Struthio camelus: one gene and its partners. The protein of the gene in region 3 purifies or fractionates together with the protein of the main gene of each other region. This does not show direct contact. Links are inferred from orthologs where the notes say so. Each region holds a gene or a part of one and is shown on either strand. Other genes may lie near its edges. The genes, in order: SLC39A10, SLC30A1 and METTL9.

What was found.
Region 1: the proteins of METTL9 (region 3) and SLC39A10 purify together in Homo sapiens (co-immunoprecipitation; 3 studies listed by BioGRID and IntAct, with this or other methods). This does not show direct contact. The link is inferred for Struthio camelus from reciprocal best matches to the Homo sapiens genes METTL9 and SLC39A10.
Region 2: the proteins of METTL9 (region 3) and SLC30A1 purify together in Homo sapiens (co-immunoprecipitation; 3 studies listed by BioGRID and IntAct, with this or other methods). This does not show direct contact. The link is inferred for Struthio camelus from reciprocal best matches to the Homo sapiens genes METTL9 and SLC30A1.

What each region holds. Positions count from the first base shown.
Region 1 is NC_090947.1:12,520,593-12,530,886, reverse strand, and holds the start of SLC39A10 (zinc transporter ZIP10), read left to right. Parts: upstream 1-5,515; 5' UTR 5,516-5,670; coding exon 5,671-5,679; intron 5,680-10,294. UniProt on the Homo sapiens protein: Zinc-influx transporter. When associated with SLC39A6, the heterodimer formed by SLC39A10 and SLC39A6 mediates cellular zinc uptake to trigger cells to undergo epithelial-to-mesenchymal transition (EMT).
Region 2 is NC_090944.1:113,829,040-113,839,263, reverse strand, and holds the start of SLC30A1 (proton-coupled zinc antiporter SLC30A1), read left to right. Parts: upstream 1-6,435; 5' UTR 6,436-6,536; coding exon 6,537-7,161; intron 7,162-10,224. UniProt on the Homo sapiens protein: Zinc ion:proton antiporter that could function at the plasma membrane mediating zinc efflux from cells against its electrochemical gradient protecting them from intracellular zinc accumulation and toxicity.
Region 3 is NC_090956.1:9,315,568-9,325,975, reverse strand, and holds the start of METTL9 (protein-L-histidine N-pros-methyltransferase), read left to right. Parts: upstream 1-6,456; 5' UTR 6,457-6,574; coding exon 6,575-6,748; intron 6,749-7,104; exon of another isoform or gene 7,105-7,365; intron 7,366-10,408. UniProt on the Homo sapiens protein: Protein-histidine N-methyltransferase that specifically catalyzes 1-methylhistidine (pros-methylhistidine) methylation of target proteins.

The DNA of each region.
Region 1 (10,294 bases), on a different chromosome or scaffold from region 3:
ATATAGTTCCTTGGAGTAACTAAATCTGACCTTTACAGTCACTGCAAACAAGCCAAATAGTTCTGAGGCAGTGCAATGCCTGAGAACAAATCACTGTCTCTTTCTAAGCAGGAGTTTTAATTGCAGAATCATTATTTGCTTGTAGTGATGCTTAAAATCACCCTGATGCATAAGCACTCTCACTTAGGACCCTGCCAGGACCACAGATTTCTGGCTTCGATACCCTCTGGTTTTATAAGAGGACACAGAGAGGATGAATACATATCAAACTACTATACTTGATATCGAAAGTAGAAGTAAATATGTACAGTAAAATTAACCGCATATGCTTCTATTGTACATCATCAGTAAGCTCAAAGACGGAGAGAGAGGTGGTCAATGGGGCATATTTTGAGATCCAGATTAGGAAATTATGTAATGAGGAAGGAAGATGGCTTCTGTACGGTTCCCTGATATTTCACTTCAGCAGTGAAGTATTCTCGTTGCCGTATTTCTGAGTGAAACCTCTTGTGGTAAAGCTGGCTCACTCCTGGGGAAATTGCTAAAATCTTGGTGCTTGGCAGGTGAGTGTTGACAAGAACTGTGCCTAGGTAGCCATGTTGCTCCATCTCCCCAAGGTTAATTCTGCCGTTTGTTATCCCCATGAAATTCTTTAGCACGTCGATTAATACTTACAGATCATTGTTAAATAAGAAATAATAGATCTGACTTTGACTGTGCTTCTCAGAAGGAATGAAAGGCTACTACAGAAGCTAGAAGAACATACGTGACAGGTGAAAAACACAAAACTAGGTCAGCTGGCAATTGAACCACTCTCATTTCTGATGAAATCTCTGGGGCAAAACTTAGGGGTTCTAATGATTCTGAATAGAGAAGGAAGTTCATTTGGGGGCTATCATCTTGGCTTTTTCTTGAACCATCAGTATTTCAAAAGTAAGAAAAAGAAGTTGGGCACTTCAGCCAAAGAAGTTCTATTTGCCAGAGACTTGTACTTTTAGGGGTACAAAATTTGATATTTGGCAGCGAATTATAACATTTTGCTCCCAGCTATTTAGCAGAAGCTGGGTCAACACCTTCAACTACTAGCTTCCTAAGTAAATTTCTCTTGGGTAAAATCTTTTTCAACCTTATTGTTCCTAATTCCCCAAAGAAGTCACAAGATTCTTCCTTCTGCTTACAGTCAGATGCAGTATCGGGATATAAATAAACCCCAATGAAAAGAATTAATAACTGGATGTAAGAGGAAGCAAAGTCTAAATTTTACTTTTTTAAATTTGATAGGGAGTAAAAACTTGCTTCTCAGTAAGCTGGTTGTGCATGTGTATATACATATGTACATATGTATAATTCACACACACACATATATATATAAAAATAGCATGTGTGTATCTCAACCTTGTATCCCTCACCTGCCACGAGATTGTTACAAAGGGAGAAACCTTTGTAGCACAACGCTGTGTCCTGTCTTTTCCTTTATCACCTTCTGTGCCAGACACAGCTGGCGGACTTACACTGTAGTCTGCTAACCAAATGCATCAGGTCCACGGGTACTGGAAAGGGAAAAAGGTCATCGCACTGCACTGTAGCTGGAGATGTGCCTCTAGACAGCACCCCATCCCAGGAAGGAACCCGGGTAGAGGCCGCCTTCTGCTTTTGCAGCATTTTACTGCAAACTCTTCCACATTACCTGTTAGGATATATAGCCGTCCTGTGACTCAGTGTATGAGCGTACCTTGCAGGCAGTGCTACTCAACAAGTACAGCCTTGTGAGATGAAAGGAGAAAAAAGAGAGTTCTGTTCTAAAAGCATAGTAACATGTCATTCTAGTTGATGCTTGAATGCTGAAAGCTTAATCTGGATCGGTTACACCCGTTTGTGTTGCCTCAAGATACCAGCGCTCTGTCAGGGCTGGCTACAAGTTTTCTGGCTACAGGTTTTCCCGGGACATGGAAGGTTGTTTTACGTGCTTTGCAGGGAAGCATGCTTTTCAATTGCATGCTTTGGTAATTGTAATGCCTGATTTAATAGCTTTTGTTCTTAGTTTGTAAACATGGGGTAAACGTACTCTTTTTTTTTTTTTTTTTTTAAAGTGTTGACGTACAGGCAGTTCTTATACTAAAATATACGGTTGAAACTACGTAGCAGTGACCTTGACTGCAAGATATGACATCGTAGAACTACAGGGAAAAGATTCTAGATTGAGGCAGGCTTTTGCACATATCAATAAAAGGCTGTAACAAGCACTTTAATCAAAAAAGCTATTGCCAGACAAACTCAAAATACAAATGAAACTCCTGTTCCTTAACAAGTAAGGAGATAGAAGTTTTGGATTCCCCACCATGTAGTATATGAACGCCACCTTCTTGGAAGGTAAGGTTCCACGAGTTACTGACGCGGTACAAGTACAGTGAAATGAAATGTCCTGTGACAAATGGGAATCAAGATCAGTTGTACCAATAGTCCCTTCTGGCTTTAAAATACATAATGTTGGAGTTAGTATATGACAGCTGAAGAGGAGTACCTCTCCAGCATAGAGAAGCCACTAGTACAAAGATACTTTATTGGTACACCTTCTTCAGGTGAAACTCTGGAAGTAGCTATGTGATATCACCACCTTCACAGTAAGGCAAAATTGCCTTCACACAGGCTTCCTTACCTACTTCCCTAAATGTTTCTTTAAGTCCTCTAAAGGCAGTAAAACTGGTACAAAATGAGTGCTAAATCAATCTTGAAACTTTAATAGACCTTTTGGTACTGAATGTGTTGATTTCAATTCATGAGTTAAAATGTTCTTTCTTACTGGAGTGCTTAATTTTGCTTTTTATGTAATTTTTGCTTTATCTACATTTTAACAAGAAGCGCTACCAAACCCATTAAGCTGTGTTTTACTGTTATGTACTGTGCACTCTAATAATAAATTCTAATGTATGTAGGGAAAAGATACACAAATGTATTTTACATTCTTTGCGTTCAGTGGATTTCTTTCTAAAGCAAGCAACAACAGAAATCAAATCAAGCCTAGTGATAAACAGTCGGTATTGTGATAGGTGTCCCGCGAACCGCGTCAGAATCAGATCTGTATTGTGTTTGCTGTACAAAAGTTCTGATAGATAAAGGACTTGCTTTCAGCCAGAAATCATTCAAATCAACACGCGTGTGATTTCGGCGCAGCTTTCTCGTACAGCACCTCATAATCGTTTTAGGAATGCCTAAAACTCGGACTGAGCAGTGGTGGTTAAATTTTTGGACCAGTATGATTTGTAGTCTAGTGTTTAATATGGGAAGATACTTGGAAAAATTGAGGGGGTAAATGATAACTTTTTTTCCCTCTTCTAAATACTAAGGAATGAAAAAGGTGTTATGTTGAAATTAGAAAGTCTGTCGCTAGGAAGGTCTGTCAGACACGAAACCGATGGCCAAAAGGGAAGTAACTGGAAAAGCTTAGTGAAGACTCAGCATTGCATACCAAAAGAATGGTGTAGTGTAAGGCACGAAGCTGATGGAGTCTTAGATCGAGAACTGATTGTGATAGCTCTGTGTGTCTTTCTCTGCCTGAATCTGTGGTATTACTTGCATTATAACAAATATTTACAGGCACGTTATTTTATTTGGGAAAATGCACTCTGGTTTTCTTCTGCACTGTGACTTCAGTTTTCTGCTTATATTTTTTTTATGGATATCAACATTCTTTTGGTTTCTAAATTAACACTATTAATCCTCTACGTTTTTAGTATTTTAAACTCTTACTGTATTTTAGGGATATGTCACTAAGCAGAAATTCACCTAATTATTTTGGGAGGCTGTTAGGGGTAGAATAATGGTGGAATAAGGTTTGCATTCAAATGGGACCATGAATAAAACTGGGCTCTGGCTCCGCCAGGCTGGGCGTGGGGTGGTGCAGGTGTGAGCCATGGTTTAACAGAGGGGCAAGTTTAGAGAGGATTACGTTTGTTAAGTCATTTGAGGTTCTAAAAGAAAATATGCATACTTCCTTTTAAAAAAAAGGAGGGGGAAGGGCTTGTTTGCTTATAGCCTGAGGTCTGGTATGGAAACTGGGTATTTTTTTGGAGAAGCTATGATGAAAATTGCATGCAGACTTCTCATAGATTTTATAACTTTTTTCCTGTGAAATGTGAAGAATTACCTTTCAATTGTTGAGCATACTTTCTAGAAAGAGCCATTACAAACCAAGCTAGTGTATTTTAAATGTGTTTGATGTGAAGAATTCCTGTAATATTGTAGGCCTGACGTTATAAACCAAAACGTCTATCAATCCTCAGCGTTGTTCTAGTGAACTTACAGTTTCTTACATAAAGTGTTAATTTTTCCCTTTTTTGAGTCCTACAGCTGTTAACACTTCATCTAGTACTCAAATATATTGTGATTAAGGATTCCATCTCAAAGAGGAGTTATACTGAGCACCTAGATAAACAAGTTGTACTTTTATTTCATGAGTAAACCTGACAGGCCGCTCTGGAGTTCTCTCAGGCATAATACGTACCTCACTCTCAGGTGCATCAGTGAGTATTAGAAAACCCAAACTATATCCGCGAAACACCTTTCTCTCTGTTCTCAGGTGTTCAGAAAAAAAAAATTAATGTATAGTCTTTAAAAAATTGCAGCCGGGACCACGCCGCCCCCGGGTTAAACTGCCCCGCTCTCGGGCAGAGGCACCCTGATGCCTCTCGTCGCCGCCATAGCTACGCCAACGGCACCGCGCCCCCCCCGCCCGCGGGTCCCGCCGCCCCCCGCCCGAGCCTCCCCGGCCCCGTTGGCCACCCTGCCGCACCGTCTTCCCTCCACGCAGATGGCGCAGGCACCGCGGCTGCCCAAAGCGGGGGCCCGGGCCTGCGCCCCCCTTGCCGCCCGCCCCGTGCGGGCCCGCCGGCCCGGCCACGCCGCCTGCCGCCGCCCCGATCGCTTGAGTGATGAGCGCAAGCGGCTGCGGGGGGGGGGGGGGGTTGGGGGGGGTGCTACGCCATTTTCGTAGGCCCTGGTGGAGCCGGGGAGGCGGGGGGAGGGGAGGAAATGGCTCCGCATTGGGTGAAGCGGGCTGCGGGGGCGCCCGTGTAGCCTGATCCGTACGGTGCGTAGGGGGCGAGCGTGGAGCGCGCTCCAGGGTTTGGCGTAAGCGTGGTTGGTGAATAGCGTATCGGCGGCGGCAGGAGCTGCAGGAGGAGGAGGAGGCGCCGTGGCGGTTTGGTACCGAGCGGAGAGGGAGATGCACACGGCACTCGAGTGAGGTAGCTATAAAACCCCATTTGTTTACATTCCCTCCCCCACAACCGGCCGGCGCTGCGGTGAGGGTGGCGGCCGGCCCCGGGCTGGCGGCGGGGGGCGGGGGGGAGGGGTTGCTGAAGAGGAGAAGGAGCCGGTGGCGGCCGGTAGTAACGGACACCTCCTCCTGCGGGATGCGGAGCGGCGTGTGGGGGACACAGCGGCGCGGCCGCCTCGTCACGTGGCGGCCGCGAGACCCACCGCGGGGCCGGGGGCTGCGCTCGCGGGCGCGGGGGGCCGTTGGGGGCGGCCGTTGCGGGGGAGGGGGGGGCGGCTGTGCCCGGTCCCGCTCCGAGGCAGCGGAGCACGAGGCGCCGCCGCGGCCCTGGCGCATCCCCCTTTCTTCCTCCTCCTCCTCCTCCTCCTCCTCCTCCTCCTCCTCTTGAGTCGACCATGCGGCAGGTAAAATCCTCCCCGCCCCCCTGCCCCGTAACGAGGGGACTAGGACGTGGCGGTGGCTGCGGGGCTGTAACTGCCCTCGCCGCTTTGGGCGGAGAGAGAAGGCGGGAGGGGGGGAAAGCGGCGGGATGCGGCGGTTGGTTGGGGGCGGGGGGCGCCGCCGGGCTCCCGCTGCGACCGGCGAGCGAGCAAGGCCCCTGCGTAGGGCGGCAGAGCCCCTCGCCGGCTTGGCTTTGTCGGGGCGGGGGGCGGGGGTGTCCCTGGGAGGCTTTTGTCGCCTCAGAGCGTCTTTGCACGTAGTGCTCCTTAGTGTTTGGTCTTTCATTTCCCTCTTCCACCCTTCCTGTGTTCCTCACTTCAATCCGGCAATGCCCCATCATTGTGCCGTCTCTTTGTGGCCACGTGGGGGCCCCGAGTTAAGGTACGAGGTGCCATCCCTTCCGTTTCGCAGAGGGTGCTTCAAAGAGCTGCGCACAAATGGTGCGCGGGAGGGGGATGTTGAATGACTGTCTTAGTGTTTAGGCCGTATTTGGGGCAATACGGCGGTTGCAGCTGATGAGCAAGCCCCACCATTACATCCTGCTTGGCTTGATGTTCCTAGTTAGCGTTACAACTGTAGAAATTGCACTCAGACCATAACGTGCTCGTAATCCAAAATAAGCAAAGGTAAGAGATCTAGGTCGAGAGACTTTGGTCGTGGGATGTAGTATACCGTACACAGATATCCTCTGGTCACAAGAAGTGGTAAAGGGTACGGAAAGCTAGAAAATTACTTGAGGAAGAAAAGGAGCAAAAAGAACAGCTGATTTGCTTTTCTCACCTATTTTTAATGCTTAAGATGAGTCTCTTGGAACCATTGCATACATGTGTTGAAACTGTTTAGAATAAAATTATTCTTTAAAGTTTTCAGTTATCTTTGTCTTTTTTTATTGGGGGTTGGAAGGCTTCTGTAGAAAATGTTATGTCTGCTATTTCTTAAACTCCTGCCTCTGTGATGTATCCTAAGTAGTTTCTGAGTTAGAAATAATTATCACTTCTGTCTCTGTAAGTACTTTGTGTGTAAGTAACAACCATCAGTTTTCCGTTAAGACAGCATGTCGTACCCTAATACAGAGGGAACCTGAGATACCTGAAACCTTACACAGCATTGAGAAATACACATTGGAAGGCCTGGTCAGTTTTCAGAAGCCTGGAAGTGATGGCTGTCTAGTTAAGGAAAGTTCCAACTCATACCTTCTGGTGCTTCTTTGGATAGTAAGTGTTGCAATGACTAACATTCAAATAGGAAAAAATTTTTGTACAGCTGTTTTGTACTTTTTTTATTCAAAAAAAAGTATTGCATTAGACTTTACAAAGGAAGTTTATTAAGTTCTGTTTTAAGGAGAACGCACTTTTTTAACTGAAACATGTGCTTTCCTTTCCCTTAGATGAATTAAGGAGCAGGTACTCAGTTTGGACTGTTGAGGCATATGGCTCCAATCTCAAAACAACACTTTCACTTAATGATTACTTCTTAGGTTGATATTCTGCACAGTATGAGAATAAGAAAATTCTGTGGAAAGCTTTGGGGTTTCTGAGAATTGTCAAAACCAATGTGATTTACACTTATTCTAACTATTTCTTTTATTCTAAAATAAATGTTATTAATAAAGCTGCTCATTTTAGTGTTTTCTGCAGTGATTCTTTTTAAACTGCTTTCATCACTTTCATATGATTTGAGGAAAAAATGCTGCAGCTAGGTACTCTATTTGGAAAAGAGGCTAAAGCGTGTATGTAGACTAGGAATAGTATATATTTTACAAGGATTAATTGTGGGGAATTCTGTAGGGGAACGTGCCTTAGTGTTCACAGAAAATAAGTGTAGAAGGATTGTACACAGTCACCTACCTGGAATATAAATAAATCCATAAAATGAAACTGTTATCGATTCGGCCATGTTTACCGACGACTGTTGTTTGTCGAGCATAGAAACATTATCAGAAACTCAAAATATCATGGCTCTCCTTTTAAAAAAAAAAAAAAAAAAAGAAAAAAAAAGAAGGAAGCAGGTTGTTACCAGATGTGTTTGACAATCACTGTTAAAAGTTATCTAAAGGTACATGGTGCATGAAAAATGGACAGTGAAACGCTGCATTTCTCCCCATCGGAAAACTTTCTCTGAAAAAATGAGGTTTGTTAATACTGTTTGTTTTCATGTGAGTCTTTCTGAACTTTCGAGGTTGGCTTAAAAAAAAGACAAAATCAGATACGTAGTTTGGAGTAAGTATCCACACAATCATAAAATGTGCAAATAGAAAAAAGTTACAGTTTAGAAAGTGGTGCAAATGCAATCACAGCCTTAGCTATCTTTTATTTGTTTCTCCCATTGCAATAAAAAATACGTAGTGAAAATAAATCATCTTGATAATTTAGGAATGTTCCAGAAAGCTTACTTTCAGTTAAAAAAGCATGGATCCTGATAATAACATTGATCTACTATTATGCTGGGAAGTGCTCGTTTTTAACTGGTAGTCTTGAACCAAGATTTAACTGACATACGTACAATACACACGCATCTCCTGGAACAACACAATATTTGTCTTCTAGAATTAGATCTTGAAAATTCTCTCAGCAAGAGAAAATTATTGAGTACTTAGGGTAGTTAGGTCTTATATATTAATAAACCCTTCCTTTTGAATTTTTACTGTGAAGCCATGCTAAAGGTATTTACATACACTTTTGTATAGTTTGACTTACATGAATTAAGATAAGTATACCCCCTTGGGGAAGTAAAGACGAATATATCCAGATTGGCATAGATTTCTTCTGTGATCTTTACTGAACAAGTCGAAAAACTGTAATTTAGATACTTCTATTCTTAATGTATAGCTGATACGGCTAGGAGCAAATCTATTACAGTTTTGCAGAAATTAAAGTTTTTTTAACGGTCTAATGGGTGCTTAAGAGAAATCAGTCAGGATTCGGAAGCAGTTCACTTTTTTTTTTTTTTTTTTCCTATCAATTGGAATTGCATACTTATTCATATTATACAGGTTGCTTAAAATTTGGTTATTGTCAAATGACTGCATCCTGCCTTTTTTGTTTAATCTCAGGAGATAGTTTGAAAGAAGCTCAGATAAATTGCAGTACTGACGTTTTCTTTGTATAGGCATGCTTTTCACAGAATTGAGCTTTAAGGACAAGAGTGAGTTCTGTGAGTTCTAGGAATTCGTGCCTTATTGGGAGTAACTTCTGTTCTCTGCTCCTGTTGTAAAGAAAATCAGTGTGATTTTTTTCCAATTTAATTTAGAGAGCAAACATTTAAAATACAATTTTAGTATATGAAGAGTATTCATCATTGGGAGTGGGCTGCTGAAGTTATCTTAAGTAAGAACTAGTATTTTTAGCTTGCTGATAGAGGCCTGAAGTAACACCTGGTGTGGAAAGAATTCAGGTTGTCTTTATAAATTTCATAGCTAGGCCATTCTTCAGTTGCAGCTGAGATGTTATTTAAAATATATTGAATAAAGTCTAATGAGGAAATGTGTGCCAATTAAGTGATAAAGTGAAGCTACAAAAAAACCACTTTTTTTTTTTTTTTTTAGTATCAGAAACTGATCAGAATGCTGAAAACACAATGTAGGCCAGGCATTATCCTTCTAAAGGAAAAAAAGATAAACCCTTTGTCAGTCCCCTTACTCAGAATGTTCTGTGTGCTACTGCATCAGTACTATTTCTCTAGGGTTTTTCGTGCAATATAAGCCCGGAGTGAAGGGGAAAGAGAATAACTGTTCCAGGTCACTTGCGTTTGGTTACCTCTTGTGATAATCCAAACCCCATGCAGATTTTAGTACTCAAAAGCTGGAGGCCAGCATGAAGGGCTGGGAAGATGGTGATTTCCTTGTCTGTCTCAAAAGCTTGTGAGAGGAAGGAATGTTGAAATTATTATATGAAGGGTGTTCTACCCATGCTGGGGAAGAGGGTTCATTATATTGGAGTTGTTTTTATCTGCTAGGTGTTGCATTGTGCTGCTTCATCCTTCATCTTTCCATTTTCTGACCTTTTTATCCCTCGCTGCAGAGGAGGAATGACTCAGCTGTTGTCTTTTCTCTCTCAGCTGCCTGATAACCTACAAGAGCTTCGTTCTTCTCTGGCTATAACTGTTTTACCTTTTCTATAGCTTGTTACTTTCCAGAGCAGTGTAAGATGAGAGTGATGAGAATCTCTTAGGTTTACTAATATGAAATTACACTGCTACTACAATTGATGAACCTAGTAGATAATTCATACTGTGTTATCTGTTGGAAAGCCTGAATGTAGATGTACTTGTATATTACCACTGCTGCGTGAACAACGGGAAAAGAGTGAAAAATATTTCCGAGTATATCTTGAGCATCAGCAAAGTGAAGCTCTCAAGCTGTGGACCAGCTTGCTTCTGTTCATTAGAAATTTTTGACTGTTGTAAAAAATAAGTAATAAAATGAGCCTGCAGGGCTTTGAAGAGCAGTCCTAAGAGAAATCTTGTTTTCGTTTATGAGGAATATATCTGTAATCTTATGATGAAGTTTACTATAGAAAACTTCCCCCAATTTTTTTTTCTGTGTTGGCAATCACATCTTCTCAGTATTAAGTAAAATAC
Region 2 (10,224 bases), on a different chromosome or scaffold from region 3:
GAATATTTTGATTTAGGTAATGCTTCAGCTACAGCTAGAGCTCTCATGTTCTTTTTAAAGGTAATGAAAGGCAGAGTTTAACAATACGATTTATCAAAAATGCCATGTGACGGATTTTTTTTCAGTAATAATCAAAATGTTACCACCGATCAATTGCAAAGACACTTTTTCATCCCATGATTTCAATATTTACAGAATTTTCCCATCCTTGTCAAATCATTATTACTTATTTTTCCTGCAGAGAGCTGGTTGTGTAGAAGAGTGAATAACAACACATTTTTCTGACTTTTTTTTTCTTGTAATGATTAATATGATGATGATTTTTCTGGTAGGATCCACTTAAACATCGAATAAGTTATTAGCTCAAAAACCACAGTCTGTTAACTTCACAATTGATTAGAGCAACAATTTTGCCTGCTTATTGGTGAATTTTAAGAAAATACCAGTTCTACCATCAGCAGACAAAGTGGTAATCAAATCAGCCAGGAAACGCTCGAAAGTCCACTGAAAAATACATACTCATTAAAAACAGCTACAGACTGGTTGTTCAGTTAATTGTGGCAGAAGTTATGAACAAGGTCAAGGCTGCCAAATGCTATTTGATCAAACGAATGGATGGATGACAAGAAAACAAAATAACTAACCTAGAAAGGAAAGACAGAAATCAAAAATAAGAAAAGCATCCTTTACAAACATTGTTTCTCTATTAAGGAGAAAAGATTTTGGAAGGGAAAAAAAGAATTTATTTTTCATCTGCTTTGCAAGGTTCAGAAGAAAAATAATGAGATATCCTAACACACTCAACTTGTTTGGCATTCTGGTATTGACCTCCAAAGACCCCAAATTTCCCAGACATAGTAACTAGGTGGAAAAAGAAATACCTTTACAGAGCAAGACACTCTTCACTTCTTATCTTTATGCCAATTACAGCAATAGTCTTTCTTCATAGGCCGCAAGTGAAAGCATTTAAGCACACGTTTAACTCTGTCCCTGTTCAAAGGCCTTTTAATTGACTGCAAACACACGTTTAAGTCCTTTCCTTGATAAATCTGCTTTCCTTAATCAGGATATAACACTGAATTTGACATGGAGCTATGTGAATAATAGTATTCACTTTTCATTTGTATTGTTTTCCATTGCAAGAAATAAACTTGTTTGTTTAGATAAGTGTACAGTGAACCTTTTTTTTGTCTTTGGTGTCGCTGGCTGGATCTAATTTGAAGAAACCTTGTAAGGACAGCTAACAGAGAGAGACGTTGCCCGCAAGAAACACAACCGAAAATGAACACTGACAGCCTTGAAGCGGAACAGGCAGAGGGAGTCATGCTTGCCAGTCCCACAAGCCTTTGTTAAAAAGCAGGGACAGGTCTGATGACTGCACAGAAAGGGAACAAGTTAGGTGTTAAAAGGAGGCAGTGTGCTCCGTGATATGTGACTGCGCAGGGGTTTATAGACGGCGTTTCACCTTTTCCGAGCGGAAAAGGCACATAGCCATGAAGTGCCCTTTGTGGCTGAGCTCTCTCCACTTACAAATTTGCACAGAAATTCAAAGGAAAAAGAAGTGACTTTGTTTACTCAGCAAACATGCTGAGTAACAGTGAATCTCCCAACCAAAGTCCCATTCTTCCCACAGCGCTCAGCTGACTTAGTCGGGAGTTCAGGAGCACTCAGGGCGGAATGTTTTCTGCAGAGCAGGCAATGAGATGAAGCTCTGTCTAGCCTTTTCCCACCTTGCCATCCAGTTCTGGGGCAGTACGAAGGTGCACATGGGAGGTTCAGAGTTGCTTCTCCCCTCAGAACACATTTTCAATAAGCAAATACATTTGGAAGCTGCTTATTCCACATGCGTGGACTGGAAGGTGAACCGAGAGACGAACTGGGTGAGTCACAAACAGTGCCTGGAAGCCTTAAGAAAAAAAAAAAAAAAAGCGGAGCCCTCCCTGCTTTGAAGACATAGCATTCTTCTCAAATACTTAAGCAGGAACAAAATGTTCTCCTGTAAGCACACTGCCTTATGGCTTGCTTTGGGTAAAGACTTGATTGATAAAGGTGACCTTTATCAGTCACTTTCCTATTAGACCTACAATTTAAAAGGTTGCCACATGGACAGTCCTAAATTTAGGAACCGTCCCTGTTCCTGTTGGTTGCTAATGTATGGTAACACAATAGAAAAGCCTGGGAAGAACAGTGTAGCGCACTCTAGTTTATGAGAAAGACTCCAGGGCGAAGGTAGGGATGCGAGCTCATGTCTGCTCCAGCTGCCGGTCTGTGCCTGACATCCAGGAGCGGCACTCTGGGCAGTGGCACACGTCGGGGATTACAGGTACCCAAGTCTCTTTACTTGAAGGGAACCAAGATAACGGAGGGGCTGGGTCCACCGGGATCCCCTGAGACAAAGCTGCACGCCCAGCCCTGCTCATCAGGGAGCAGAAGGCCTGAGGATACGTTGTCACCTCCTGCCTGGGAAGGATTCATGGCCTCCCACTCCCTTGAGGTGTATAGTCCATGTCTTGTGGCTTTTGGTCCCCGGAGGATTTCAGAATTCAGCCTGGTGGAGGGTGGAGGAGGAGGAAGACAGGCAGGCTATCCCTGGGCAAGGGCAGAACATGCCATCTTGTAAGGAGAAGATGGCAGCAAATTGTGCGCTCGTATGGTATGCTCGAGTGGATTAGGAGGACTTGTGGTGAAGAGATGTTAAAGGGATTACAAACCGATCTGGATATTGTTACTATATAAGAAATGATACAAAAAAAAGTCATAACCCCCTTCCTATAAGTCAGGCAAAACTCTTCATGAAGTTTGTGTTCAATGTTGATTAAGTTCTATTGGTAAGGATGGTACTGCTTTATTGCTATCCTATATCTCTGAGGTAGAGACCCGGTACTTCCAGTCGTTAGGAAGACTGTAACGACATCACTGGGGCAACCAACTAACAGTTTCAGTAATCCCCGAAGTCCAGCACGTGAGAGACATCAGACTTTGAAATTCCTTGTTCTTCCCACTTCCCTAGTTAAATTCCATTGGCTCAACACTGAATCCCTGTAAAATGATAACCCTCCCTACCTGCAGGAATTTTAAAGGGCTTGAGCTGCAGTAGTTTTCTTGACCTATATTTCCTAAATTCTGATAATCCTTCCTTATTAACTAATGGCGTCTTGTGGGGGCGAGAAGGACAGAACATGGGCATGTTCCATTTTAGTATAATTGATGGTCAGCTTCCTGACTACAAATAACATCTTATTAAATGGTATTAGGGCATACGGGAAGAGAGGTACATGAAAAGAACGTTATATATAGTTATATCTAATTACTGCCTCTCTTACCAGTACTGTTTACGGTGGTCATTAAAGCATTCCATATGGTTTCCTACAGCTGAACAACTGAAAACATTTGACATATAAACAGTCTCACAGAAAATGGGGTTCAGGGCCATAGGTCAGCACTGTGGCAACTGTAGTGCCTAAGCTGTGTGTATGTTGTAAAGACTATGACACTGCAGAGTAAGGGGAGAGGAGGAAATGGCATGCAAGGATGAGAGCAACAAGGGAGACAGATGTGGATTCAGTAGGAGTCTGCTGAGTGTAGCGGAAGCCAATCCTGAGCTACAGATTTCAGTTATGCTTGTTGATAATCTGTTCTTGTGGAAGTGTCAACGCCTCCCGCCACTTAACTAATGAGATGAAACTAGCTTTCCAGCTCCAGCCGCCAGGGACCTTTGTATAGACCCTAAATCATGGTCCCTTCCGAAACTCCAAGCATAGCAAGAGGCTTTTGTGTTCTCGTTACATCTTCTTTGTGGAGCATCATAGTTTTCACATTGCCTCCATATACTCATACATACAGCTACAGCTGTACAGCTACAAATAGCTACGGCAGTTTGTTTCCTCTCGCTTCATTTTCCATTTATGGAACGCCCTTGGACAATTTCTTGCTACCTTGTTGGTTGGCCCCGTGGAACACGGTAGATAAAGTAAGATGTCATCGCTGGAGCTCATCTGGACCCTTCCCATTCAATGTGCTGCTCAGCTCACTGCAGTGGGCTGAGGCACACAAGTCCTAAGCCCTGCTCAAACAAACTAAAAACAGAAAAACAAATTCATGAAAAGATGTAAAATGATGAACTTGCTGCCATTTCAAGGATATGAAACAGAAGTTCTTGGTACGTTTTTCTTACATTTTTGTGATTTTTTTCTAGATGTTTCAAAATATTTGTTTAAACATCTGTTTCCCCTTTTCTCTCATTTTTAATTGCAACACATTCAATAAAATGAATAGTATCTAGGGACTTATCTGTTAGTGTGTGTGTGTGTATATATATATATATATATATATATATATACATTTTTTTTGTGACATTACAGCCTTTCAAAACTTCCTCAAGAAAAATTACTTCCTTCTTCTCTCCACATTTTTAACCATAAATGATTACTCATTAATTATTATTTCCTCACCACTCATTCTATTGCTTTCTGTGGCAAAAAAAGAGAAAAATTGGATGTTTACCATGCAGAGGGTAGGAGCATCCAGGATGCTCAGGAATGATGATATCAAAACACTGATTAAATTTGTATTAGTTGTTGACTTATACCACATACAGGAATGAGTGAAGTAATTAGATGCCACTTCTTGATATTTGCTACTCCCAGTCATATGTTTTAAAAATCTTAATAACACTTATCCAACAGTTTAGAACTCTGTACAGGGAAGAAGCAACTAATGGAGATGGAAGACCACGTGTCCGTACCCCAGAACAGAGATGTACTCACCACTCAGTGATGACAGTGCCTGGCTGGTGATTTTCAGGCTGGGGCGGGTGCAATAAAGTGTGAGGGGGCATAGGAAAGATCACAGATTAACAAGAATAACGTATGTAATGCATTCAACATAACTTTGCTGCTGCGTGAGCAATCGAATTAACAGCCAGTTGCAAGAAACATCATCCTGCCTCAGCTGCCTCCCGGAAAACCACCTTTCTTTCTGCCCAGTGGGAGCCACTGCAGAAACTCCTGGGCGCTCAGGCTGCTGGAGGCGAACGATGAAACACAGGGGCACCACGGCACCTGTCACCGCACCGCTCTCGCCTTCTGCTTTGCTTTCACTGACAGCTCCAAAACTTCAGGCTAGCAACGGAGTCTTTCACTTGGCTGCACGGTGGTGCCGGGGAGCGGGGAAAGGGGCTGTTGCATTTGTGGGAGTTAGACGTAAGCGTAACACTACTTTCTTCCCAACTCATGGCGAGCGTAACGTTTCAGCGACGCCCGCTCACAGGACGGGGCGGACCGCGGGGGTCAGAAGAGCCCGGCGCCGAGGTGTGGCTAGGGGAAGGACGGCGGGGGGGCCTTGGACGAGAGCTGGGCTGCGAGCGATAGCCGCGGGGCTGGACGTACCGCTGTGAAGCCTGTGGCAGCTGTTAAACGGGAGCAGGGATTTGGCCGGGTTGGGGATGGGTGCTGCTCGACTGCCGGTTGCGAGCAGGCGGGGGGGGAGGTGGGAGGTGCAGAGGGGCCGTGGCCGGGTTGCAGCCTTCCCCGGTGCCTTGGGACCGGCGAGGAAGGCGCTGCTCCTTCTCGCGTTTGTCGTCCGACAGAACGAAAAAAAGCTCAGCTGGGAGGAGGGGCTTCAGCGGCTCGCGGGGAGGGGGCAGCCTGAAGGCACCGGCGGACGAGGGGCCGGCGGCCAGAGCCCGCGCCGACAGAGAGCCGGTCGGTGCCGGAGGGGCCGGCTGGCCGCGGCGCCGGGGCTCCCGCACCGGCCCGGGCCGCAGAGCCGGCCGCCGCCACCCCCGGGTCCCGGCCGCCCCCGGGCAGCCGTTGCTGCCCGCAACGGCCCCGCGTGACGTCACAAAGGCCCCCCACCCCGCCTCGCGTGGCTCGCCGCAATGGAACGGAATGGAGCGGAGCCCCCCCTCCCCTCCCCTCCCTCCGCCCGGCGCGGCCCGCCCGCAGGCGAGCCCCGCCCCCCCGCGCGCGCCGGGCCGGGGCCGTGTGAAGCGCACCTTTTGCACGAGTCCCGCTCGCCGCGGGAGGGGAGGGAGGGGGGAAGAGAAGCCGACCGGCTCTGCCAACCGCAGCCCGCTCTGCGGCTACGTCACGCGCAGCCCCGCCCCCCCTCGCCCCGGCCCCGCCCAGCGCCGTGGTGCGGCCGCGGCCAACGGGCGGCGCTGGGGGGCGGGGGCCGGCCGTCGCGAGGGCGAGCGGGCCAATGGCGGGAGAGGCGGGGGGCGGGGGCGGGCCGGCGCCGCCGGGCGGGGGGGGCGGCGGCCAATGGGGCGCGGGCGGGGGGGCGTGGCCGTGCCGGCTCGGGTTCCGTGTGGAAAGAGTGAGGGGGCTCGGGTGCAAAGTTTGCTCGCCGAGCGGCTGCGGAGGGAGCGGCGGCGGCCGGGCCGCCGGGGGCGGGGAGGGGGCCGCGCGCGCGCTCGGGGCTCCGCCGCCGCGCCCAGGGACCGTTGGCCGCGCCAACCGCCGGCGGCGGCGGCTCCTCGCTCTCCTCGCGCCTGCTCCGCTCCGCGCCGCGCCGGCGGCCGCTGCCCCGCCGCGATGTGCGGGGGGATGGCGGCGAAGGGGCCGGGCGGGCCGCGGTGGTGGCAGAACCGGCGGGCCCGGCTGCTGTGCATGCTGGCGCTCACCTTCCTCTTCTTCGTGGTGGAGGTGGTGGTGAGCCGGGTCACGTCGTCGCTGGCCATGCTCTCCGACTCCTTCCACATGCTCTCCGATGTCATGGCCCTGGTCGTGGCGCTGGTGGCCGTGCGCTTCGCCCAGCGCACCCGCGCCACCAAGAAGAACACCTTCGGGTGGGTGCGGGCCGAGGTGATGGGCGCCCTCGTCAACGCCGTCTTCCTCACCGCCCTCTGCTTCACCATCCTGCTGGAGGCCATCGAGCGCTTCACGGAGCCCCACGAGATCCAGCAGCCGCTCGTGGTCATCGGCGTGGGGGTGGCAGGACTCATCATCAACCTGCTGGGGCTCTGCCTCTTCAACCACCACGGAGTCGGGGGCCACGGCCACGGCCACGGGCACTCGCACAGCGGCAGGCAGCACCCTCGCGGCGGCCCCAAGCCCGAGCAGCCGCCTGCGGACGGGGATGCTGCCCTGCACCGGGAGGAGACCAGCACCTTGGTGGAGAACTGCAGCAGCTCCAACGGAGTCAGCCAGGAGAAGCTAGGTAAGCCCTGTGGCACCTCTGCCCCCTCCCATTCCGCCCAGCATAGACGTGTCGGGAAAAGGGGAGAGGTCTTTTCCCCAAGGAAAGTGGTGGGCACCCCACTGCCACCTGACACAGGCTTCGTGGGAACCATCTCCTTGCTAGTAGGGGAGAGGCAAGAAAGTTTCTTGTCGGTGCTCTGGGGCTCACGATAGTTGCACCTCTACGCATTTTCTGCAAGCGCCACAAAGCCCGCCTTAAATTGTGTCCTCGTCTTGTAGACAGGGCAGCATGCAGAGGAGTCTTAGGATAACCCAGTGTGCCCTGGGAAAAGTTGATGCTGGTGGAGAAGGCGCATGACAAATGTTTCTGCCTAGCAACACAAGCTGTCACAAGACATTGCCCTAATGCCTTCTGAACTGGCTGTACATCAAATAGAGTACAGCTCAACACCTTGGTCCTGACAGTCAGATATCTCTTGAGTTGGTTATTAGCTACCTGAGAAATGTTCTCACTTTGAAGTGAAGTATACATATTGAAGTATTTTCCATTATAACAGTGTTGTGCTTCTTCAGGATAAGCTTATTAGTAGGAAGAAATCTTGGAAATGTGAGTCAGAACTGTGGAAGTCATATAATAGGTGCTGAATGTGGAGCTTGCTGGTTTCAAAGTGCAGGCATGTTTCTTTGAGTTAGTTTTCCTTTAGCTCCCTACTGCGTGCAGCTTCCCTCTCACTTGCGTGCATACATAAACTTAAAATGTCCCCAGTTCTGATCATGCTGTCTCTTCTGTGGGAGGGAATTTCTTTCATTATTTTTTAATGACTCCAAAGGCCTGGACAGTTTATTCTGAAGTCACTTGGTCAAAGCCAAGTGCTGCCTACTAGCCGAGTGAAAGGTATGTAATTACCAGTTCCCTACTTTAATCATATGACAACCCCGTTACAGCATGGAAAGGGTTTCAGTGCCCATGTTTCTCCCTTATGTTCAGGGTGATATCAGGAGACCATTGTTTTAGATTAAATTGAGCTTACTTGTACAGAGTGAACTTTGATACAGTTTTGGTATTTCTGTGGTCAGAGGCTCCATTACACATTTGAGAAACTTAGAAGTTTCTCTCTCTCTCTCCTCTCTCTGTCTTTTCTTTAGTATTTTGGCTCCATGTTGCTTTTGAAAAGTCAGATATTGAAAGAGGATAGGAAAGTTCTCCTGAATACATTACACCATTTTTCTGACTGCATAATAAGCCTCTTAATACTGTGTCGGTCGCAAGGTAGGTATCCTAATAATTAGTTTCAAACAATGTAAAATTCATTTGGCCATTAATCTAATTGATATCTAAAGTCGTGCATTGTCCTTGCATAGTGAAACCTGAGTTGTGCTTTTAGCTAAATTTTTGACTAGTTCTCTGTTAAAAGATTGAATTCTAGTATGGATTAAAGTATACATTGTGTTCGGCTAACTTCTCTGCAGTTTCTCAGGAATATAGTTCTGGCAATAGAGAATAATTTGCTGTGGGTATTTAGTATGTAATAGGACATAGTTTTGGTCATGTGTTAAATTTTCAAATAAGTGTGTATGTCCTCTAGGCCATGTCATGATTATGTTATGGATTGAGTTATTCATGGTTAACCTGTGAAAATGTTACAGGTGCTTGAAGTCTTAGGCTGTAAGATGTGTGAGTGAAGACTAGGGAAATGACTGACAGTAGCATTATGCCTTCATTGGAAATTACAAATGGGGGTAAGCCCCGTTTTCTTAAGGTTGAAGTGGAAATGGAATGATAGCCTGGGGGCTAGTACTGTGCAGGTAATCTTTATGCACACACTTTCTATAAAGTAATCAGTTTATAGTTAAATTAAAATGAGACATATTTCAAATTGACGGATTTTAACCAGTTGCCATTAAAAAAAAATCTCAAGAGCTTCCTGGAACTGTATTTCCTGTCATCCACCCCTTATGGATAGGTCTACTGACTTTCCGAATCTGCTTTGATCCAAGCACTTGGTACACTGCACAGTGTCAGAAAAGGTCGTCTTTGTTCTCATTGTGAAGCCAGAGGTCTGAACTCTGTAACCTCAGATATCTTCCTCTAATTTATTGACTTCTACTGGAAAGTTACAGGTTCTAGTGATATTTCCATATTCCATAACTTCTGGAGGTTGTATGGAAAATGTAGCTGGAGCTTTAGGACTGAAGTGTGATATACGGCGTAATGAATCTTGGGCTTGGAACGTTTCCGTTCAGCCTTCTTTGTTGTGAACCCACCTCCTCCTTAAATAAGAAACAACTTGTAGACGCTTTTATGATTACAGAACCATAGCCATGATAGCGGAGTGGCAAAAGCTATAGGTCATACTAACATGTTAATGTTTACAAAGCTCTAAAGTGAATAACCCTGACTGCAGTAAGAAGTCCTTGTTTCAGTTTTTAAGGCCAGTAGCCAGTTCCCATTAGATTTCTTTAACACTGCAAGTTTTCTGTCCAAAGAAGAACTTCTGAAGAAAAGTTAGAGGTTAATTGTGTAAAATACTTTCAGTTACTAAGGTTGGAAAATATTTTTCTTTGAAGAGTTTGACAGTGCCTCTTTGAGGTGATGTGTGCATTTATTCCTCTGTAACTAGTTAGATGTGATAGAGTGGTGGTATCAAAGACACTTTTGACAAAGAAGGGTACTGCCATGTATGTTTGTGCATTACATGGTTCATGACACGTGGTTTTGGACATGAACACCTGTATGTCACTTTAAAAAAAAGTATTTTAAAGCAAGTACCAAAAATACATCTGCTTGTGTATTCTGATCTATAAAGAATACTCGTTCATGGCCTTTGACGACTTCGGAGATTGTACTGTATTTCAGATTTGTATTGTCCCATAGTCAATGCTATTGATAAATCTTGCATTTTAGATCTAAAAGCTTAGCTCAGTGCATCAGTTCTGCTGGTTGCATGCCCCATCTCAGAAAAGCTTCCTTATACTTGAATTCAGAAGTCTTTTGAAAATGAATCCCCTAAACCTGAAGAGAAGTGACTGTGAAGTATCCATACAGCTTTTGAACTTCTCGCCTCATAAATTTTAATATAAA
Region 3 (10,408 bases):
GATCGGGTAAAGGAATCCGAGCCCAGCACTCGGGGGAACTGCATTTTCTTAAGCTTACTGAAAGATAGCGTATTAATTCTGCTGTACCTGATAAAATGGCACATCTCTGAAGTTAGCCAGGAAAAGCCTGGATGGACGTCCCTCAGGGAAGGCAGGGGGAGAGAAAAATTTAGTTGGTATCTGTCTGGCCAAATCTCACGACAAATCTGTCAGCTACTGCAGGAAGAGCCAAGAATAATTAATTCCCTTGTAAAAGTCAGTGTAAGACTAAGTAAGAAAAAGATTAAAATGCTCTTCAGGGAAGTTGTGCTCATTATGGGAAAAGCTCCGTACTTCTTCTTTTGAAGGTACTATATTGTAGTACTTTATACAAAATGACATTGTGGTAAGAAAAATATCAGCATACGGATGTAGTAGCGTTCAGTTAGCAGGACCAAACTAAGCACATATATATTGAATCCAAATCCACCTGCTTCGTAGTGTTGGATTGGCAGACTCGTTTGATGTGATGACAGTTGAAGTTAACTTCTGATTAAGGCAGTTGAAGTTAATTTCTGAATTATCCTTACCAAAATCTTTTCAGTCTTCATCTTTTACATAGATCCTGTGATTTTTATTTAAAAAAAAAAAAAGGTGTTTGACATTATTTTAGAAACATGGACTCCTCTCTTTATTTCACACATGCTATAATGATAAGATACATTAGCATGTTTACAATATTCCTGTTTAATAGATCATCTTTTTCCTCTAATATATCCAGTGTTAGATAATCCATATTGAGCAACAATGGTTTTCAAATTGTGTAATGATGAGACGTTGGGTATCTACCGCCTTAATTTTTTCTTTGTTTTGCCTGGTGAGACATAAGTTTAGGACCACCTCTCTTCCTGAGTGCCAGTTACTTGAAAGTACAAGAAGATGCACTTTACGTGTCTAGACTTTGGTTGACCCAGCTCATTTCTACGGCTCTACGTTTATCATCATCATAGATAATTTGGAAGAGAAAGGAATGTAAGAATTTGATGTGCGTTTTGGTGGACACTGGCCTAACTGAATTAAGAGGTGTGAGATTTGACATAGCAATCTTGGAAAAAATAGATATTCTTTTGTGCCTCAGTTTTTCCATTTGCAGAGTAGAAACAACTTTGTTGCCCCACTTTTTGTAACGTGCAAAGTGCTTTCCAATCTGTGAGTGAAAAAGTGGGATATTGTTGTTAAACATTACTGAGAAATCCAAACGAACCTTAGGATATGAAGATTTATGTTAAAATGTAAGAAGCCAGAAGTGTGATGAAGTTAAGTTGCATTTATCTGTTTTTTATCTCTGCTTTGCCAGAGATACCATTATTGATTTGCACCGTAGATGCTAATAACATTATGCACACATACAAGTGTCACATGTATTTACATATCCAAACAACATTTGCAAAAGTACTAGAACAGACATGGGCTGCATGTTTACGTTCTGTATTTTAAAAGATGCACTGTCTTGTCTATATGATTTTGCTGCCTGGTGACAGTGATCTATTTTTAAAAACCAATAGCATGATTTGATTGTTAGCTAGGAATCCCCGTCATTCTTATTGTTTTGTGGATGTGGTTACTGAAGGAGAAAAATCGGAAGGAATTTACATTAACCTAGACTTTGAGCCATTATATGAAACTGTTTTCTCCCTGACCACTCCTTTCAAGGTGGCCATAAATAATTTACAATAGTTTTATTTTTATTTAGTTTCTCTGACAGTATTTCCCAATTTTCACGTGTTTATCCTTTTTCCTACAGAATATATATTTTCTGCTAGGAGAAAATGTTATTGCTTCATAAATACGGTGTTTCTTAGATGACTGCATTTATTAGTTTGTTCTAATAGAAAGTTACTAGAATACAGCGTTCAACCAGGAAAGTACCGTGCTATACAACAGGAAAGCTAATAAGCGACTTTAACAATCAAAAACATACCAAGAAGTCTTTGAAACGGTCAGAATCAATTTATCTGGAAAATGTTTGGTAAAGCTACCGTTTTATTTGATCAAGTAAAGGCTGAAGGCATAGCTTGAATAGTCTCTTTAAACTGCTGTATCTTCAGAATTAAGATAGGAGAAGTAAAGAGTCAAAAATTTTTAAATGAGACTGCCTTAAAAATGGGGAATTAACTGTGCAGAATAACTGTGTTGAGCAAAGAAAACCTAGAAATACAATGCGAATAATTTAACAGGTAAAATAGTAGTTAAATCTACAAATGACTAAAGTATACTAATCTCCCTTTGTCTGTCCTATTTCTCTTGCTAAGAGGACAAGAAAAAAGCACCTTTCATCACAGCAAGGGTCAAACCAAAAGGGAGCTGGCAAACTGGTTAAATTCAGGCCGTAGTCTTAATCCAAGAATTAGCAATAGAAGATTGACAGTACGCTATGATTGACATCGCTTATTCTCCATTTCTCTGCCATCCACTAAACTTTGTTATCCTTTATTAAACCTACATGATTGTTTTTGGCCATGAATCAAGTAAATGATGATCAAATGCGAAAGTACAGTGTCTTGCAGCAGCTGGTTTGTCTGCCTTCACTCCCCATTAGCTAACAGTATCTGAGCTTGAAGTCTTCCTGCTGGAAAAATGCCACAATTTAATCTTGATAATTTAAGAGTGTCTAAAATAGCCTCATAATTGACAGAGAAGATTTAGATGTGTATAATATGAAACAGAAACATTATGATAACTTCACGGAGTTAGAAGCTTGATGCTTGAATCCCATTACTTCATAGAGTTTCCGTACAGGTTCTCAGAATTTAGATCTTAATACACTGAATGAATCTTATTTATTGGAAGTCAATAGGTAAAGGTGTCTGTTGGATTTAAAAGGATGTTATATAATAGACACGACAGAATGCTAGTCTAATCATAAAGTAGTAATATAATATGTGGTTAGTGATGGAGTGAAAACAGATCGAATAAAGGACAACAAAAGTATCGAATTTTAAGTAGGAAAGAATTAGATTTATATTTTGTGGAGGTTACAGTCCTGTCTCTGTTCTCTTCTTGTACAAAATGACCTTCCCAGTCTCCTGCTGTGCTGATTTTGGAACTGCTCAGTAATTCATGAATAATGCTATGTTGACATGGTTAGTAGGATGTTTACATTTGAATATAGTTGTATAGCTTAATGGGGGCTGTCAGGAAAGACAAAGCAGGAAGGGAAAGGAACAGTTAAGATAAGCCACATCTCCACAAATACTTAGGAGCTCTTTCTTACAGTATTATGTCAGCTCAGGAAAAAGCTTAATAACACATGCAATGAAAAAAAATTCTAGCAGATTTTATAAAGGAACATAGAGCTGAGACTGGGGGAGCTGTCAGGCGTTGTCTGAGAGAGCTGGATGATCGAACCCACAGGCACCAGGAGGCATGGGTGAAGAAAATGGGCTTCCTAGGTTACTTTGGGAAAGGGGATTTTAGGTAAGGTATCTGTGTTTGTTTAACTTAAAGCCCTCTTTCTGGTAATCATTTTCTTACTACTACTTAAATAACAAAAGCAAAGGTTGTTTTATTGCTCTGCTTGATTGGGAAGACTGCAGATTTACATCCTAGAATACATGAAGCTGTGGAGCTAGCTAGCTTGTGGAGCTGTGTGAATCCTGCTCCAGAAGACAAGGTTCCCTGTGATCACCACAAAGCGCACGCAATCGTCTTAAAAACACTCCTTTATAGGTAAGTATTCAAACCTTTGGATATGTTTTGGACCTTTTGGACCCTTGGTATTAAATAAAATATAGAATTTTCCCAACATGAAGAAGAGGTATCTAAAAAAATGAGGAGAAACAAGGAAGAAATACGATTATATTTTTTTTCTGCAAATCCTCCCCCAACCGTGCTAATTGCTTTGAATGATATATGCATACATTTATACAAAGAACAGTTTTCTGAGATTGTCCAACAATTGATACAGGTTATAATTCCATCAGCATATGTGCAAATGACAGTGCATCAAAATTATTGCCTAAATGTGCATGAATAGTACATTTTTTATAGCTTGTCAAGAGAAAAAATATGCTTAGTATACAACTACCAGAGTAGAATATTAATGACCAATGTAATACAGAGTAGGAACTTTGGAACATCTCATTAAAACATACCCAGGTTGTATAATAACAATACAGAGATGAAAACTAGCATATTTCTTAATTTATTCAGTATGCAACTCATTATCTGTATATTTCTTGTGATAACATTAAGATACATTTCCTTGTGAACCACATGCAACTAACCAGAGGCAATTTTATTTAGTGGTTTACACGTTGCAAGCAGATGTCTGTTTAAAAAGCAGCAAATTTTGCTTTGTCATTTTCAATTTTGATTATAAAGCTGTTTTATCCCGGGGGGGAAAATAAGCTAATCTGTCTTTACAAACAAGAAGATACATAGAAAGGAAAGTCCTGATCCTAAACCAAATAAGTAGTAGTAGACCGAAAAGGCATCTTGCCCGTCTAGCTAGTGGAGAAAAATGAATCTTTGTCTGGAAAAGTGTCCAAAGCTCTCACATCAAAAACTCTCCTTAAGGAGGCTGAACATCAGTGAAAATAAACTGAACAGAAAAAATCCTCTGGCAGTATTTTGTCGTTGCTCTGGTTTTCTTATTTCCCAAGCTAACCAAGGTTGGATTTTATTAGTGCTTGATCAGAGGATCTTCCCGGTAGAAGTCAGGATCCTTGTGGTGGTTTGACTTTGTGTCATCCTTACCAGGAAAATAAGGGGCTAGGCTCCAGCCTTTCAAATCTGATCAAAAGGAAAGATGCCAATTGCTTGTGTTCATTAGGAAAAAAATGTCTGAGAGACTAGAGACGATAGCCCTGATGCCGTACTCAGCTGGAATTTGATTAATGAGATGGGCTTTGTCTAGGTTTTCTTTCTTTCAGTTGGATGTGGTATTCCTCACTTTCCGTGCTACTACCATGAGTAACCTGCGTTTATTAGAGAGTAATTGGGCACAGTGATATAAAACCTAACCCAAACCCACAGAAACTAATGCTCTTGTCCTAACAAAGGCATAAGCTACTGTATTAAATGCCAGAAGGCTTTTATCCAGCTTGACCTGTCCCAGATTAAGATGTTTTGATAAGCGTTGTCTGTTCCAGGCTGTTCTGCCGGGGGTATTAGCTGCATTCAGCACGCGTTTTCCTCCGCTGGTCTCCGCTGTGCCCCCACGCTCCCAGGCACACAACCACGCGGGAGCCTGACTCTCAAGTTCCCGTTTTCCTACCTACGCACTGACTTCTCCTTCCTCTGCATGGATACCCCACCGCTTCAGGAAGACGTTCAGGAACCAAGCTGACCTCAGATCCGTCTGCTCTAAACACTAACTGTGCTCCTGCCGCAGAACCAAGGCTGCAAATTTGAGAGACCTTTTTAGGTCAAAACATTGCAAGAATCCCACGCTAGCAGCAACGGTTTGCTTCGAGCCATTGCAAAATAGTTACAAGAAAAAAATGCAGTGTTTGAGGACTTGAAGCCAGATTTCGTATCAAAAGACGTGTAGGCTTCCATTTGTACGCAGAAGCGCCTGTCAAAGAGCCGACTCCGTAACGACCAATTTATCTTTAAGCGCTTATGTTTGGGGCTGTGCACACATCTCGACGCCTCAGTGCTGGCCGACCTTAGTGCTGCGCCTACCAGAAGAAGGGAATGGAAACAAAACAACAGGTAAAGCACCGCTTCCATCCATACTACTGCAGCGGCCAGGCGTTTCTCAAACTGAGGCCCTAATCCCAACGCTTTACACCTTAATGAGGGCAACGAGGGGCAGAAAGCCCAGCGCGCCAGGCGCTGGGGGAAACCGCCGCTCCCCAACGGCGCGCCGCCCTAGGCGGCAGCTCGTCCTCCCTTGGAAACTCCCCCCCCCCCCCCCCGGTTAAAGGAAAGCGGGAGCGGGCGCCCCGGGGAGGCCGCGCCGTTTGGGCTCTTCCGCCCCGAGGAGGCGACGCGCCGCAGAGCGGCCGCGCTGGGGCCGCCCGGGCCTCGTGTGGCGACGGCGCCGCCTCGCGCCCCTCCCCCACCCCCGCTCTGCGCAGGCGCGGGAGGAGAGGAGAGGGGAGGGCGGCACGCGCCCGCCAGCCGCCGCCCGGGCGACGGGGCGGGGCGGCGCCGAGCACGTGCGCGGCAGGGGGGCGGCCGGCGCCCGCCTCCGCTGAGGGGAGGAGCGCGCGCGCGCCGCTCCTGCCGGCGATGCCCGGAGGGGAGGGACGAGCCGCCGCCGCTGCCGCCATTGTACCCCGCTCCGGTTTGAAAGCGGCGGCCCCTGCCGCGCCGCGGCCCCGCCCGCGCTGTGATTGGCGAGCCAGAGGGAGGCAGCCGGCGCGTGCCAGGCCCCCGGCGTGTCGCAGCCGAGCCGTCCGGGCGGCCCGCGCTGCCGCGGCGCCCCGCGTTCCGCCCCGCGCCTGTGCGCGGGCCCCGAAGGGGAGCCGGGCCGGGCCGAGCCGAGCGCGGCGGGTCGCGTGCTGCTGGCGCCGCCGCCGCCGCCGCCATGGCGAGGGGAGGCGGCGGCAGCGGGAGGGGGTGACCGCGCGCCCCTGCCCCCCTCATGAGACTGTGGCTGGGCTGGCTGGGCTGCTACACGCTGCTGCTGTGGGCGCTGCGGAGGAGGATGTGGTCTGGCCCCGCCAGGTACCTGCGGAGCCCTTTATCCAGGTCCCTCTACGCCAACATGATGGGCAGCCACAGCCCGCCGGCGCCGGGCACCAGCGAGAGCCACCAGGTACCAGCGGGGGCGGCGGCCGGGGGCCGGGCGGGCTCCTGAGGCGGCGGCGGCGGCGGCGGGGCGGGCAGCGCCAGACAAAGGGAGGGTCCCGCTGCGCCCGCCCCGCCGCCGAGCCGGGGGTGCGCCGGGGGCCGCGGCGGCGGCGGAGCCCCCCCTCCCGGCGGGGCGAGCCCGGCGGCCGCGGCTGCGAGCCGGGTGTCAAACCCGGCCGGCGAGAGCGGCGGCAGCACCCGCCCCTGGCGGTCCCGTGTCGTGTCCCCCCCCCGCGCCGGGAGCTGCCTGAGTAACCGGCGGCCGGAGGACGCGCAGGTGGCGGGGGCGGGGTGGGGCCGCAGCCGCGTTTGGGTTCGTACCGGGGCGTCTGGAGACAAACAGCCCGAAACAGCGGCGAGGAGGGAAGCTGCAAAGCCGGCCGAGGCCTTGAACTGCCGGTAGCGGAAGGCGAGCTGGAAACGGAGGTGGCGATGTGATCCGGCGGCGAGAAAGGGCGAGCGGAGCTGTTGGGCGGCGCAGGCGGCGAGCAGCACCGCCCGCGGGGCCCTGGGGCCCGGCCCGGCCCCGGTGCTGGGACGCGCTCGGGCCCGGGCTGCGCTCCTGAAAACCCGGCGGCGCTTGAGAAGCGCTGGTCATGACCGCTGCAGCGCCGAAGGAAGGGGCTGACTTATTCTAAGGAAAATCCGCATAGCCCAGCTAACGAAGAAGACGTAACCCGAAATACTCGAGGGATGCTGACAAAAGGAAGGACGTGATTATACGCTGTAACTCTTCGAGCTGATGCGTTACTGTTTTAGCTTTGTTAGTGCTCAAGGTGGGTGCTAACACCGGGGATCTTGCTGCTGAGCGAATAGATTACTGCTGTTTGGATCGTTCGGTACGTAAAGGGGAGGATGGAAGCAGAATTTAGCTTTCCAGCGCAAACTTTCTTCCTGCGAACAAAGAAAACGTGCAGTTCTTTTCTGTTGTTAAAAACTGTACTAGAAAGACGAGGAGATAAGAACACGGGCCACGGAGGTGATTATTTCATTCACAGGTAGATAGATGGTCTGCAGTGGATAGTCTCCATCTCTAATGTATAGGATCTGGGTTTTAAACTTCAAGTATTGATTGTTTAGTGAGTTCTTAAAGATCGGTTACCGAGTTTGTGGGGTTACCCTCAGAAGTAAGGGTTGCATGTTGACCCGCAGGTACTTTCACTCTCTGAAGTTTTACTGAGTTCCTCAGTTTTACATTAGTTAACGGAAATGGTATTTTCTTCCTTTCATTAATATTAGGCAAGAGTTGCCAATAATAATTTTTATTATAACAAAGGTCTTCACAAATTTCTCTTCAGATTTCTTTGATGCGCTGTAGTATTTCTACTATTGTGCTATACCAGATTGGTACAGATTGATGTTGTGAGACTAGTGGCCTGAAAAGGGCTCCTTGCATTTTGGACAAGGAGAAAAACAAAAGGAATTTCTGTTTTGAGGAAGTAGTTCCAGAACGAAGCTTTCTTTCCTTACTTTTGTTATTTGAAATTTGTATTGTTTTTATCCTGGGCACTTTTTGCTTATAGTTTCCTGATATTTCTAATACTCACTAGCGTTATATCGGCAGTTATAAACGTTTTAACCGATAACCTTATGCAAGGTAAGCTTTAACTATGAAGAAGGAGGAGGAGGGCTATGAGCAATCCCTAATTTCTGGAAATATGCTTCCCTTCTCAAAGGGGCTCCTCTTCTCAAAGTTGCCACCATCATCATTCTTCCAGTGGTTATATCAATATATATCAATATTTGGAAATCTTGAAGACAAAAGACTGTTGGTTTCCATGGCTTCCATGGCTGGATCCTGGAACTACAGATGATGAGATTCAGTGCAGAACCAAGGTTTATGAATAAGCTCAGGGACAGCACATACGTAGTCACGTTACTTACGGATCAAAGCCCGTGATTCCCAAACTTCTGATGCTTTATACACCACCTTCTGGATTGAAAATGGCAGCGCAAGGTAGATGTTCTGAGCCACTCCAAGCCTGTGCAGTGCAGCTAGGCAGCAGCCTCATGAACAGCTGCTGAACCTGACCCATATCCCAGCCTGCTCCTCAGCTCCCTGGGATTGTTCACTTCTGCCAGACTTTTGAAATTGGTTTCCAGAGCTGGATGGACAAAACATGCAGGCTGCTGCTTTGGTGCTTTTTCACAATTCGCTGACAATTCCTTTTGGGAATCACTGGTCTGTGCTGGTTCACTCACTTCATACTGTGCTGCCGCGAGAGAAGACCCAAACTGGTAAATGGGCTGTCATGGGGATCCTTGTGCCATGCTGCGTCGTGTGATACAGACTTGCTCAAAGTCTAGTTTTTAGAGGGATGGATCATCTACTCGTGCTACCTACAAATGCTGTTGGGAAGCACTGTTTGAGAGCCCAGTTCTGCAGGGAGGTACGCAACGTGCAAGTTTTCGAAATAGACCTGTGCAGGCATATATTTGCTCCCTTGGCTGAAGGGTATGGAAATACCTTGTTACTTTGGGGTCTGTGTCTGATGGAGCTGCTGTTTATCAATCTGGCACAATGATCTTGTTGCAGCTGTCTACTCCCCTCTGTTTGTTGGCACTGTTACTGTGAAGCAGCAGGATACTGGAATACGAATCCTGTACTGTTGTTATTTGTATTACAGTAGTGACCAGCAGTCCCATTGTGCTGAACATGGTGTAAACATGCATTAAGTGACTTCCTCTCCCAACAAGTAACAACAAGCTTTTGTTTGTTTGTTTAATATTGGGCAGTTACCCCAGCTGACCTCTTGCTCTCCTTCCAGATGCATTTTTATAGGATTCTATTAAAACTCTCCACTCCTCCTTAAGATACAGCTCTCTACCTGTATGGTGAATACATGCAACCAGGGTAGAGAACGTTCTTGCAAGATCTGAGGGGAAGATAGCAGAAGAGGGCTTTGGCTATAGGCAGCAATTCTTGGTAATAGGAAACAAACACAATGGCATTAGAGATTCTACAAGAAGAGCTGTCAGTAACTCTGTGCATAAGCGTGGGAGACACTGAAATAGAATAGTGACATTCTTAATTAAAATTATAATTAAACAGTTGTAGCACACACCTGTTGAGTTGAGGGGAATTATTAAGTCTGACATTACAGACTAGCAGTGAGCAGCCTTTTGACTGTTTTGAATCAGTGCTGGCCTTCTAACATCGCAGTATTTCTGTAGGGCTGTCTTGTTTTGCACACGTTTCTTAAATTTAAAATGATGTAAACACAGTAAGTGTTAAAGGAGGAGTTTAGCAATGGCTTACACACAAATAACAAAATGTTAGGATGTGGTTTGGTTTATTTTACTTTTCCAGATAGATTTGATAGGAAAAAGTACCACCCTTTTTCTTCAGAATTAGCTGAATAATAACTTGCGTATCAGAGCGAGTTTGTAGTTCGTATTGGAGTAGTTGTTACCAGGTGACACAAGGTGAAAGGAACCACTAGTCCGTTTTAACTTGTCTACCCTTAGAAAAGTATAGTGCTGCCTTCCGACTGATCCTGATGACTTCTTGGATGATGTGGGAAGCTTCCTGTTCATGCAGCTTCCTCACATCATCTCTACTAAACAGATAATGGTTTCGAATGACTTGTGAATGTGCTTGTTGGCACTAGTCTGTGAGGAAGTG